Linked DNA regions of Lepisosteus oculatus. The protein of the gene in region 1 interacts with the protein of each later gene in a pairwise test. Links are inferred from orthologs where the notes say so. Each region holds a gene or a part of one and is shown on either strand. Other genes may lie near its edges.

What was found.
Region 2: the proteins of pumilio homolog 2 (region 1) and dazl interact in a two-hybrid assay, tested with the Homo sapiens proteins (2 studies listed by BioGRID and IntAct). The link is inferred for Lepisosteus oculatus from reciprocal best matches to the Homo sapiens genes PUM2 and DAZL.

What each region holds. Positions count from the first base shown.
Region 1 is NC_090697.1:25,729,648-25,736,974, reverse strand, and holds the start of pumilio homolog 2, read right to left. Parts: upstream 3,020-7,327; 5' UTR 2,756-3,019; intron 2,591-2,755; exon of another isoform or gene 2,368-2,590; intron 1-2,367. Other genes in the region: b(0,+)-type amino acid transporter 1, read left to right, coding at 5,980-6,720. UniProt on the Homo sapiens protein: Sequence-specific RNA-binding protein that acts as a post-transcriptional repressor by binding the 3'-UTR of mRNA targets.
Region 2 is NC_090705.1:29,099,024-29,105,934, forward strand, and holds the start of dazl (deleted in azoospermia-like), read right to left. Parts: upstream 3,021-6,911; 5' UTR 2,899-3,020; coding exon 2,839-2,898; intron 1,879-2,838; coding exon 1,744-1,878; intron 1,672-1,743; coding exon 1,580-1,671; intron 1,374-1,579; coding exon 1,322-1,373; intron 1-1,321. UniProt on the Homo sapiens protein: RNA-binding protein, which is essential for gametogenesis in both males and females. Plays a central role during spermatogenesis.

The DNA.
Region 1 (7,327 bases):
ATCTGAGTTCTACGATCATAAAACTATGAAATTGTGACTCTAACAAAATAGAAAATCATATCTGACAAGAAAAAAATAGAAAATTGCAATCTTCCAAACTCTTGTTTTATTTTGATAAAAATATAGGCCTACAGTTACTTTACCCTCAAGAAAAAAATTTCAATTTATTATATGCTGTGCACATAGACAGGAGAAAGAGTTAAGGTGCTGTGCACACCATCTTCAGAGTAACACAGCTCAAGAATACAGCGGATTGGGCAATTTAAACACACCTTCTCTAGTTTAAATGTTTAACCATTCAAAGATCAAGAACAAAGTAACAGATAAATCAGAAATTAACAAATAAGCAAAAAGCATGGCTGGTAAACAAATATTAAAGTTTTATGATGGACTTCTCAATAGCTTTTTAATGTGGTGTGTATATATACATGCATCAACAGGAGGACTATTTGTTCATTTTAATGAAAAAGCTATATAATATCCCAAAGAACATAATCATTTGTGGCAAAACATCCACTTTGAAACATGAACATTTGTTTTATCATACGATGGTTTATGGATAATATATTGTTAAATAATTATGTTTATTTTATTTACTATTTGCATTTCCAGGCACCTTGGGCTTTGTGTTTCTAAACAAAAAAAAAGATAGTTTTTTTTTAGCATTTCCAAACTTCTTTAAAGAGTAAGCAGCACTCTTTTCTCTCTCGAGATGCTTAAGAGTCCCTTCAGTACAAACACCACACAAAAACTACAAGGACTTTCACTATCTGTTGGGCATAACCTCTGTCATCCTAGAGCTGTCAGCCTGTTGTATATAACTCAATCAGTAAAGATGGAAAAAAACAAGAAGGATTATAAAAAAACTAAACTAACCTGAGAACCGATTCTTTAAATTTATGATCTGACATGCTCTTGCCTTTGGTAGAATATTTAATGCACTTAGACTATGTGTACTGTAACTGAATCCACTGCATGTGAATCACAACACTGTTGCAATGCACTTCAGTTAAAAATGGCATGCAGTGTCACATAACTAGACTTCCAATTTAATTTAGATATTTCAGTTTCGCTGTTTAACAACGTGACTTCCACATTTACACACTTGATACATCACTGCAAAATGTCTAAAAACACTGCTCAGTGATTACCAAATAATATATCCTTCAATGACATCCATCAGGCACTCGAATGTGCCCTGCCTTGTGTAATACACGGAGAAAAACTGAATACCATCACATAAAGTGAGATGCTTTTTTCATAAAATAGCACTGACTATTCTTTTTTTTAACTGCCCATCCCCCCACTCCTTCTACAACAGTGCCTCAAAACCATGACCTTTTCAGCCTGCTGAGTAGACGGGCTGTATTTGCCACAGTTCCATCACTGTGAGGTTGGTCATAAAAAAAGTAACATCTTTGAAACAGTAAAATACATATTTTATACATGGCAGGTTAGCAAGTTTGCACTGTAAACAGCAACAACTTTTCAGACAAATGTGAAAGAACAGTCTTTAACACCCTTGCTGCATATGGTTTAGGCCAATAATAACATGTAGCCCACAAAGACATTTATATGCACACGGATTTATATTAGCAATGAATACAATCTAGAACAGCCAACATCATTAGCTTTATGTTTCAAAATCTGATCTGTGTTCCTAATGGTAGTATTGTCCTACATGTATCAGTGGTATTATTAACCGGTCGCCTGCAGAAGCTGTATTAACAGAACCACCACTGTCTGCGAGAAGCTTTTGAGAAGACAAAGCATAAACAAGGAATGAGGCCTAGTTACCGTAAAGACAGGCTAAGTGTAAGACAGCCAGGATCATTTAACTACATCGAGAAAAAAGAAAGCAAGAGCTATTAAAATTAACTCTTCGCACACACGTCTGTATTATCACACGGGTCTTTACACCTATGGGGAAGCACAAAATATAAAAGTCTTTATGCATAGGGATATTTTTAGTTGCACGGAAAGAAAATGACCCAGTTGTTGGTAAACAAGTGAACTTCTTGGAAATAGAGACCGGGAAAGAAGCCAAGCAGAACCGAACCTCTCCTGTACCAGGACAGTTTTACTCCAGCTCACGACGGTGAAGTGAGTTCAAATTGTTTTCAAACAATAAATAACACAGGATGGCACATAAAAGGAAATCCATCACTACCAAAGTAGACAAAAAGAAAACTCTCGAGGTGTCAGCACTATGACTTCAAAAACATTATTTTATGTTTACTTAAAAGTGGAGATCCAAAAAATAATATCCTCGTAAACATAAACACGCGCTGGTAAACGTCTAACGAAAGCATAAAGCATAATAAAAAGCATCAAGAGCAGTATTTACAAACAGCTGAGGCCTCTTACCTTCAATATTATTTAAAAGGAAAGCAGGACAAAAGCACCCAAAAAGCATTTACAGAATAATACAGCTGCCCACCGTCCCCAGTATGTCGCTTAAGAAAGCTATAAACCAAAACAGAAGCTTCCAGCTTCTTTTAAAACAATCCGCGGAAAAGCTCGAACAGAAACACAAACTCGGCGAGAAGACCTGCGCCAGCCATTGCTGCTGGGTTACTACACTAACATGGCCCCCCTCCTTGCTCTAAACAGAGAGCCTTACCCGCTAAACAAAAGGAAATATCATAATAATAATAAAACATGTTCTAAACACTCGGTCCCTGGCAATAATCCCGGAATGGAGTCCCTCAAGGTGTGCATTTGATCCAAACCTGGGGATGGACGGGATACTCACAGGCCGTGCTGCTGGATGGCGATGGATTATTATTATATACAGACTTTGTTTTGTTTTTTGGTGGATGTCGGTGTTTTAATGGTTTTGGTTTGTACGTGGTACGTTCAGTGGAAGTGTCGCCCTCTCCCCCCTCCCCTCTCGAACTGAGCTTGGGCTAGAGGAGCACCGACAACATGGCGACAGAGGCAGAGGGAGGAGCTGCAGCGGCTCCGCCACAGACCTGCGCGATGGGAGCCGCTACAGCACGGCGGCACAAGCCGGGGGGGTTACCGAGTTTCGGGTTTGTTTCGTTTTTAGCATTATTTAGAGATTTGCGCCCCACGTAGGAGAACATTCGTTTAGGTACGTTCTCATCACCCTTGCTGTCTCTAGAGAAACTGCGGCTTATCGCTAGTTAACAGCATCAAGGAAGCAGACATTTGGCAATATAAATAGAATTCAGGAAATCACGTGGTTGTCTGTCTTGTCGCACTTATTTGAGGTCAGCAAAATCCAGGTTTATTAACGGTTTACGTAGAGATGGAGGGAAATCATTTTTCTAACGTAATTTGAAACAGTGTAAATTGCTTAATTGATGAAAAATGGTATTTTGTAAGGTTTAAGTTTATGTAGTATTATTTAAACTGGTTTATATAGACATATTTACATTTTTTTAATATTTACAAATTTGTTTGACTTCAGGAGATGCTATTAATGAGACAGTTTAAACCCTGCTCCTGATGTTAACCTTTTGACATCCCATTTTTTCTGTGTTTAGTGATATTTAGTCCCGCAGCGTGGAGTACTGATTGGGCATCTGAACTTCTGTTCTAGTAAAACTGTAAATGTAAATTATTCAGATGTAAGCTTGTGTGTTAAAACAATTGACAGTATATTTAAGTTTGTTAAATTAACTTCTAGAGAAAGGATTATGTTCTTATGTAGTAAGGTAATACTAGAAGAAGAGCTGAAAGTTAAACCCTAGTATCATATTTGTATTTTTAGATAACTTTTTATATTACTGATGTGTGTACCTCTCTGACAAGATGTTTACTTATTTTAATTACTGGGCAAAACTAGCGTGTCTGACCTTCGCCTTTATCTCTTTACAATGTGTGTATAATTACATCCACGTTGTGTATCTGGAGAAAGAAATGCAAGTTTGTTATACAAAATATCATTTAAGACCTTCATAACGAATGTTGTTATCTGCAACATGGAATTTAACACTGACCACATAAACACTGTGTAAAGAGTTCCCTCCACACGCAGTGATGTCTGTGTGTCAGGAGAGGGGAGCAGCGCTGCTGCGTTGCTCTGGTATCACAGCCCTGGGTGTGTGGCTGCTGAGGAGACTTGTGCTGTTGAGGGGTCAGGGGTTGGATGGAAATTTCTGGACTCAGTCCAGTGAGGGCAAAGGGGCTCCACTCCTGCTGGTGTGAAAGCCCCTCTCCTTGAAGCCTCTCAGCTCCCCAATGGGGAATAAAAAGGAGAACCCCGCCTGGGTTTAGGGATTCAGAGGGAATCTAGGTGAGCGAAATACGTGCCCTGTATTACAGTTCTTTTTTTCTTCTTCTGTTGCAAGCTCCAGTAGAGCACATCGTCTTTCACTTTGTTCTCAGAAATAAAGTGTGCTTTCTTTGGATCGTGAGTGGCAGTGCTTGTCATCCATGCTTTATATTTTTTACAACCAAAGAAGGCTCCACAGCCAAAATGTTTTGTTACTTTTCTTCTCTTTTCAGCATGGAATAAACCTTTTGTTGTTCCTTTGCAGCCTAAGCATTCTGACACAGCTACCTACTTGAACTATTTTTTTGCATTTTTTTTTACAAATGCAACAAAACACTTAAATGTTAATGCACACATGTAACAAACATTTTTTGAGCCAGACATAAAAAAAAAGACTGGTCTAAATCAAATAGCTACATCTGGCACAGACTCAACACAGCACATCATCCAGTCAGTAACATACCTACTGGTGGTCTCAGCATTACGTTATGCTGCAGCTTGTCATTCCTCATTTCTGACTGAGGAATCTTAAAGAGACGTGTATTTATTCTTAAATTATGTTAACCACTATTAATGCACTCATAGAAAGGTCACTCAACTAAATGTTAAATTAATTGTTGAGGTAATTTTGTACAAGTACAGTAAATACATTTCACCACTTAATCTCTTTATTTGTTTGTTTTTTTGGTCTTTGTGTTTACTTACAGATCAGGTTTTGTATATAATAAATGTTCATTGCTACTTCAAAGTGCCATGACTGCAAACTTGAAACCAACAGAATGTGAAAAGTGTTCAAGGGTCTGAATATTTTTTAAGGCTCTATACATTGTTGAAGAGAGTTCCCTAGCTCCTTTAAATAAATGTCTAAATGAAATCTTCATAGCAGTTACCTACTAAAAACCAGATGAGCTAGATGGACCAAAATGCTTCCTCCTGTTTTTAGCAGGCGTTACAAATACAGGTTAAGTAGGTGGTTGTTGAATAAGTCACAGAAGCTGTTCAGAGATGGAGTTGGGTTTGCTAGCAGCTGGTTCTATCAGAGTGGGGCAGGATAACACAATAATGGAGAGTTAAAACAAATGATAACATCAGCTGGGCAGCAGAGGTGGGAAAAAAAAGGCAGACAAGGGTATCAGTAGACACAGAGAATTATATGTGCAAGGGAGGCTTGTAATGCAAGCAGATGTAGGTTGGAACAGGGACCTTGAATTGAATTATAGCATAAACAGATAAGAGTGTGACATAAGTATGTATGCTATGTCTAGCCCATGAATGTAGTCAATTATTAAGTGGCAGATTTTGGAAGGTTCTTCACTAACCACAATCATCTTGCAATTTTGTGTGTACTTCTTTGTTATTCCATTAGCAAGCAGAAGGACTGATGCAGGAATAAATCAAAACACCTCAACCTCTGTTCAGTGTAACTTAATTCTGGGTTATTAGTTCACTTTAAAAAAATTCCTTTACCACAAAATTACTGTTGAAAATAATCCCTTCTGCAAGGTCACCTCTGGAATACATTATCATCATTTTTATTTTTAGTACCATATTTTTAGTACACTTTGCACAAGTGGAGTTCAACCCATTTTCTAACCCTGGGAATGTAATTATTAACTGAATAAATTGCTGTAAGTGTGACTTTGTCCCATCATGACAGAGCAGCATTGCTCTCTAATTCATTTTCTTCAAAACAGAGATCTCTCTCAGCTGGATTGAAACGGTCAAGATTTTGAAAAATGAGCAGGAAAAATTCTGTTATATCTTACACATCTTCAGGGATCAATGACAAGGTGCAGACATTCAGCCTGAAACGGGAGGTTGGTTTGGTCAGTGCCGTGTCCCTGATAGCGGGCACGATGATCGGATCAGGAATTTTCATGTCCCCCCAGTGGGTGCTGTACAATATCGGAAGTCCAGGAGGAAGCTTGGTGATCTGGGCAGCGTGTGGTGTCCTGGCTATGCTGGGGTCTCTCTGCTATGCAGAGCTGGGAACTGTCATTCGGGAATCGGGAGGGGAGTACATCTATATTCTCCGGACGTCAGGGCCTCTGCCAGCCTTCCTTCTCGCTTTTACCTCCATGTTTGTAGTGAGGCCAGCCAGCATTACAGGAATATCCCTGAGCTTTGCAGAGTACGCTGTGGCCCCCTTTTATCAGGGCTGCTACCCACCTCAGCTGGTGGTCAAGAGTGTGGCTGCTGCCTGTATACTGACACTAGCAATTGTGAACTGCCTCAATGTTCGGTTCTCAATGTCCATCCAAGTCATCTTCACAGTGGCCAAGGTGCTGGCCCTGTTGGTGATCGTGATCGGAGGAGTGCTGCTGCTCTTTAGAGGACACACAGACAGCTTCCACAAGGCATTTGAAGGCACAATAGTTGGCATAAACAACATAGGAGTGGCCTTTTATCAAGGTCTGTGGTCCTATGATGGGTGGAACAATTTGAATTATGCAACTGAGGAACTGAAACGCCCCGAGGTGAGCACATTTACACTTCGTGTTTGTAAAAAAAGTAAGATTCTGCCTAAAATCACATAACTCTGTTGACTTATGTGTATGTGAATATAATGTTCTTTTGGTATCATTAGTATTTTGTGAGAGTACTTATTACCATCACTCAATTCTCCAAAGTTAAAGCCTTTTTTAAACATTTAATTTATACGTTTGGAAAGGTGCTTCATTTATAAAGTAACTTTCCAAACCCAAAGACACTGTACATAGTGATAAGGAGAAAAACAAGATAAGAAAAGAAAAGTTCAATAAAAAAAATTAACAAAAACATACAGGTTCATACAGCTGGAATGTAGATAAATCAGACATAGGCCCTAATAAAGAGATGAGTCTTGGGTTTAAATTTGAAGAAAGTCAGAGAATTTGTCTCTCCCAGAGTCTGAGGAAGGGCATTCCATAACTATGGCGCTGCAACAGATGAGGCACGTTTTTTTGAAAGTCTGAGATTTATTCCTAGATACATTGAGCAAAGCACCAGGCTCAACTGACCAGAGCCTTCAAAAGGGATTGGAAACATAAAGTAGTTCAGAGATGTGTAATGGGGCTGGCCAGACTCTTTTAAAGCATTAAAAGT
Region 2 (6,911 bases), on another chromosome or scaffold:
TTTGACTTTGCAGATATTGTACATTGCTATGGCTAGCTTTACCAATTTTTAAATCTTTTAAAAGATAACATCTTACTTTTTATCTCCATTGATGCACACATTTAGCACTATTTCAATAACATTCGAGATGCTATCTGGACTAATCATGGAAAAACGCTCAACTACAATAAGAAATGTAACAAATGTGAACAGCACCATGCTACAAAAACTCAGTGCTACAAACAAATTGCTCCAAGTTTACATTGCTTGGAATACAAAAGTAATCTATGAAATTCACCAAAGCTTTTTATATTAAAATCATATAACAGTTGAGATATTGGGTTAAGAAAACTTGCAAATCCAGCCATTCATAGCAAAACCAAGTCACAAGTACAAAAAAAAATACTGTAAGACACTCCCCAACTTACATCAGGGGATTCCACAAACTTTACATGCATTTGAAATTATGTATGTCAGGACATTCTTACGCAGTCCAGCAAAACAAATATACACTTTTTACATCATTAGAAAATCTTGCAACCTTGATTAACCTGTTACAGCTGAAATTATTCCAGAGAATGTACTCTTGAGAGAAATTATGCACACAAGGCACCAAGGAACAAAACTGAGGATGCAGACTGCAAGAGCAAGATAGCTGCCTTTTCTCCATACACAAGTAGTTATGTTGCTAGACACTAATGTAAATTTTCACACTAAGAATTACTCCATGGAAACTTTACATAAAGCCAGATTTACACAAATCTGGCAGTCTCTAAAACACAACCACTGAAAGCACTTTACAGCAAATTCATACAGACATCTATAATACTTCTACGACCGCATACAGAACATTGTATACAATATTGGATAACATTGCACAACATTATTGATTCTCTGCTCAGTGCAGAGAGCAACCAGACAATACATTCCTGGGCTTAAAACATTAACAGTTTAAAAACGACGACAAGCTAAAAACTGGGTTGAATATGGAACAGAGAAGACTAAGAAGAGACCCAATTCAATTTTATCGATATCCCTTAAGGCACTGATGAAGTCAAACCTTTCGACTTCACATTCACAAACTAATTCAGCAAAACGCAAACCAGAAGACAACGGTTTCCACATGGAAGTGCATTTAAAAACGGAGAACAGATCAAAGGATGAAGAAAGAGGAATACTTGACAGATTATCAGTCTTATTAAAAGGTACCTTCATGGGCCCAGGCATACATTAGCATGCATGCAAAAGATGGATGCAGCTAACAGCTATAACTTTGACTATGCGAATACTGAAATACTGTGAACGGCATCTATGAGACGGGCAAGCTTCCAGACGTTCTTACTTCAACAATGGTCTGAATGTCCACATCCTCATTGAATGATACAAAGCCATACCTATGGGGTGGAGGAAATAATCATGTTACATGCATTAAAGCTACTTCTTTCATAAAACACCTAAATGCAATGAAATAGTGTATTCTGTCAACTAGTAAACGTACATTGGCACTAACTGGCAATATTTAAGAACACTGATGAGAATCTATGAAGGCGCAGTACTCTATCTTTAAATAAAAAACAGGCAGCTTAACTTACAAACTCACCCCTTACAAATGCCCCCGCGATAAGTGATTATCTTTACTTCCTTCACGGCACCGTATCTTGCAAAGAAGTCCCTTATTTCATTTTCATCCACCTGCAACACAAAGCGTTTTTAAGCCTAACTGTTCAAGCTAATTTTACGTCCAATGTTTTTCTTTGTACTCACCTTCATATCAATTCCTCCAACAAAAAGTGTATTCGGCGTTATCTTCCCTTCGGGCAAAACGTATCCGTTTGCCATTTTCAGCGAAGGGGAAGTGTAAGATGCGTTTATCGCTGTGTTGGGTTTCTCCTTGTCAGACTGAAAAATGAGCAAATATAGTAGATCACCATACTTCGGCCATGACTAACGGGGTTTAAGTATTTCATTAATAACTTTATTCAATATACTTTGGTTATAGTCCACAGCTACTGAAAAAGTTAAATCGCCATCATAGCCGACCGTGCGGCTCCACTTCCAACACCTGCTTCACCATTTCTCTGATCTCCAAACCTGAAGGAGAGAAACCCATATTCGACCGATTCCTAACATGACCATACACACTCGTGTGTATTTCGCAGTTATATTCAATTTCCGTTAACCTTTTAAGATCTGTAATAAACGCACATACTGGACACTTCCAAACTTGTGGACTGGAAGAGGAAAATCGAGGAAGGCTCGTTTCCCCAGCAAGTGATTCTCGATTTTCATCGTACGGTCTAGTCTAATTTTAATCCATCATATACTTATCGTAGGGGATAAGATACAGATTATTGAAATAAACTTTAATTGATGCATAATTTCTGGGTTTAGCTAGGAACTATTGGCACCTTTCCTCGAAAAAACGCGAATTACACGTGGAACCTCACCCGTAAAAAAACTCCACACCAAAACCACTATTTTAATCTGATCGTCGGGGATCATGATCATACTTCCTATAACTTCCTTTTGAAAAACAACCTATTTACAGTATGATAAAATATAAAACCAAGCATTGCCATAAAAACAGTATGAAGCACGGTTTCATTGATTTATGTCAGATTCCTCGTAACTCGTGAGCATGGCAAGTTGCCAACGGATATGTAAAACGTTTCTTTTACGATACAGAACGCAAAGAAATGAAGATAAACTGTTAAGCGAAATACACAACCGACTATAGTGGTTATTTATTGATATTAATCAATACAATAAAAAAACTCGTTCCCGCTCTCCTCTACGAGCCATTAGCACTTTGGCCCCACCTATGAGGAGATAGTGTTGGCGATACGGAATGCTACTTACCATTTCTATAAATAAAATAATTAAAACTGTACAATAAATTAATCGCTTTTCCCAAGGCATAAACCTTTATATTGCCCCCCCAAACAAGAAAATTTGCCCCCAAGCACTGTCCATAGGCAAACAATTCCAACGCTGCCGCTATCCACTACTAAATAAACTTAGTTTAATTGGGACAATCCAAAAATGAACTGTGGGTAGACACGGGAGTGCATTTCAATTACAAAACTCCTTAATTAGCTCATCTATACTTTATTTATACACATTACTTGATCACATTAATTAATAGAAAATCAGGCTTTCATTTTTTTATGTTCATTACAACCTAAGAATGTACTCATATACCATAATGTATCTATTACCCCCCCTCGCCCTTCATGGGATTACTTAATTTACCAGAAGCCTTCCCTAACGGCGCGCTCTTCCTAGCTTGATTCGTCACTTGTATGGAAATCGTCGAAACTGCCTTGGGAAGATTTATTTCGAAATTCAATTGTGAAACCGATTACAGTGTATGATTAAACGTTTTATATTGGCCGGTCGAATGAATTAAGGAATTATTGTAAAGCGTAAGACCAGGAAAGCATTGTGAGACCAACAAACTGTATTTGCGGTGCCGGTTCCCCATCCCTCCGTTTTCTAACCGTTCTGTCCATTTTCGGGTAACTAGTCCGTTATAGAGCATACAGACACACACTCAAACGAGGCCCGGTTTTCAGAGAAGCCACATTAACCTACCGTTATGTTTTTGGACAGTGTGAGGAAACCGGAGCTTCCAGGGAAACCCAGGCAAACATTGGAAGAGTGTACAAACTCCACGCAGCTAACATCAGGTCTAGGACTGACATCAGGAAGCAATTCTTTTGCACAAAATGTTGTGAGGGACTAACAAACTGTCAGATGCGGTTTTTTTTTTTAAGATTGTTCTCTGGGACCCTTAAGAAAGGGCTACATAATGTACATTGCACTATCAGAAAGCTACTTATTCCCAATAAGCGCAGTAGCAACAGAATAATGTAGGTTGCATGGTAAAACTACATCAGTCCACTGCAGGGTGCACATGTGTGCATACAAATACATCATTTACTGTATAGACACCAGCTGGATTTGACCTTGGATCAATTAAGCTACCATAAACCAAATAAACAAGGTGGACTAGTTGGCCTCCTCTCATTTGTTATCTTCATTATCTTCCTGCATTCTTACTGTAATACAAAAAGTGAATAAAATATAATGGGAAGAAAAAGTTGTGTGATTACTGCCTACTTTTTATATAGGATATTTATGTATTTGTCAGTACAGTAGTATACAACCAAAAATGTTAGTTTACAAAAAATATTGTAACGCTTCAGGGTTCACATGGGTGCCCTCACCACCACAAGCAATGGAGGCCGTAGGCGTTACACTGGTGTCAGAAGCAGGGTGGGATAGCCCTTCGCCGAGGACGGCGAGTTAAGCGGGGGAGAGTGTAACGCATAAAGCCTCCATTGGTTGTGAGAGCCGGCTTACCAGTGCGGTGACGTCACTGCCTTTCCCTGTGAATAGCAGGGACTGCAGCTACCAGGCTGATGGGAGATTTCCCTTTGGCTCAAGTGGCTGGGTCCCTCTTGAGTGATGCCGGAGGCCTGGGTTCGAGTCCCCGATGGTGGGGGGGCTGACCTGAGGCGGCAAGGGTGAGGGTGCCCATGTGAACCCTGTAGCGTTACAATATTGTTGTGGATTGCCGCACTGACATGTACTGTATTAGCTTCTTTTGCATCTAAACTATTTTATTAATTAAAATTAATAAAATAGAGGATTACTAGCAGCTACTGTATATAACCCTGCAACTCACAACTGGCAACCCATTGCTGCTAAGCAGGTGTGAGCCTGGTCAGTACCTGGATAGGAGACCTCCTGGGAAAGCTTAGGTTACAGCTAGAAGAGGTGTTAGTGGGGGCAATAGGTGCTTGGTGCTTACCATGCAGTCTGTGCGGGTCCTAATGCCCCCAATATAGTAACAGGGACACTACACTGTAAAAAAGCACTGTCCTTTGGATGAGATATCACACTGAGGTCATTTCTTGAAAAGAGTAGGGGTGTTACCAAATTTCTGTTGGCCTTTACCAATCAGTGGCTGGAACTAGATCCCCATCTATGAATTGGCTTTATTGCTGTTTTCCTCCCCACTGGTAGCTGATGTGTGGTGAAGTGTACTGATGCAGTATGGCTGTCATCGCATCATCCAGGTGGGGGCTGAACCTTGGTGGTGGTGGTGAAGGGGAGTCCCCATTACCTGTAAAGGGCTTTGAGTGGTGTGTCCAGAAAAATGCTATGTAAGAGTAAGGAATTATTGTTATATTTGTAAGATATTATTTTATTAATTAAACCAGAATGGAAAGTAATGTCTTATGCTACATTATAAACAGAATACCCCCCCCCCCCCCCCAATGTAATGGCACATAGTTATCATACATCCCCCCAGACATGCCCAGGAGAATAATATTCAAAATACTTTGTAAATATACTGGAAATTTAGCTCTATTGTGACTGACTGCTTTATTGTGACTGACCAGGTGAATTAATAAATGCTTTAACTTCATTGAGCTTTAAACTCTGAGGTAAGATGGCAAAACCAAATTACCATGCAAAAATATTTAAATATAGATTTGCTTGTGAACTGTTAAGCCACACATATTTAAAGGTTGAGTTTAAATATTGCATGACCACTCTTTTATACCACTAGATGGCAACCCCACCTTTTGACACAAAATTAGAATTGTTGACTATACTGTACCTGTATCACCGGCCGGCAGAACTTAACCGTTATATCACAAATTTCATAAGGCCTCTAAAATATGACCTTCGATCTATGGCAAGCGATTTGCTAAATGAAACAATTTAAAGATAATTAGGAACAAGAGTTCAAGGACAAGAGTTCCCTTAATTGAACACTCCAGAAACGGTTGGAGATCTCCACTGTACTGTAATTCCTTTGAGACATCACTGCAGGGTTTTGGGTAATTATGTTGAGCAATTCATATGTTTGCCTAGTCTTTAGTAGGAGCTGGTATAAAATAAAAGACAGTATTTCAGAGTGCTTAATTTAAATGTGTAATGCTTGAGTAGCTCTCTTTGCAATAGAATACAACAGTAATATACGTCTTTGTATTTAAAATTGTATTTTTTTAAACCAATCAAATTTTACAAATGAGCTATTTCGTAACCTATTACAAATGAACTATTACAGCAAAGGTCATACAGAACTCTGTTTTTTTTTAAGTTATACTACACATTGTTAGCATGCTTCACGTCTTTGCAGATTATAATGACTTAATTAAATGCATTAACAAAGATCTTCACTACAGAAGATTAATTTTAGGACAAATACAATAATAATTTTCCTACCCATACATCTATTTTCTAACTGCTTTATCCAATACAGGGTCATGGCGGAGCCAGAGTCTATCCCTGCAAGCAATGGGCACAAGGTGGGTTACATACTGGAAGGGATGCCAGTCTATTGTAGGGTACACTTAGACACTCACACCAGGGCCAATTCTCATAGAAGCCAATTAACCTTCCAGTATGTATTTGGACTGTGGGAAGAACCTGGAGAACCCAGCAAAAACCCACGTGTACATGTGGAGAACATGCAAACTCCACCGAGATAGCACATCAGTTCCAGAATTGAAACCCAGGGCCCTAGCAGTGTTACCTACTGTACCGTGCCACCATGCCACCCTTTATGAAAGACCTTCAGTATATACAGATGCAGCCATTCATAAAAAGAAGAGGAGCGTCTAAAGGTCATAAGCGATATAAATTTAGGAACATAATCATATTATGTAAACTGTATATGGCTGGTATTGGTAGTTTAAAAAAAATACACACCAGTATTCCCCTTCCTTCCTAAACATTTTAACCATCAAAGTCTTTCATTCGGTTACATACTGTGGATATTTTGGAATAGTTTTTACGTGCTCCTTCTGACTATATTAAGATTATATACTTTGTAAAATGTTATAATGTTTAACATTTTCTATGTATATTTGCACTTGTTATCGCAGTAACAAAGCACATACACACATTTGATC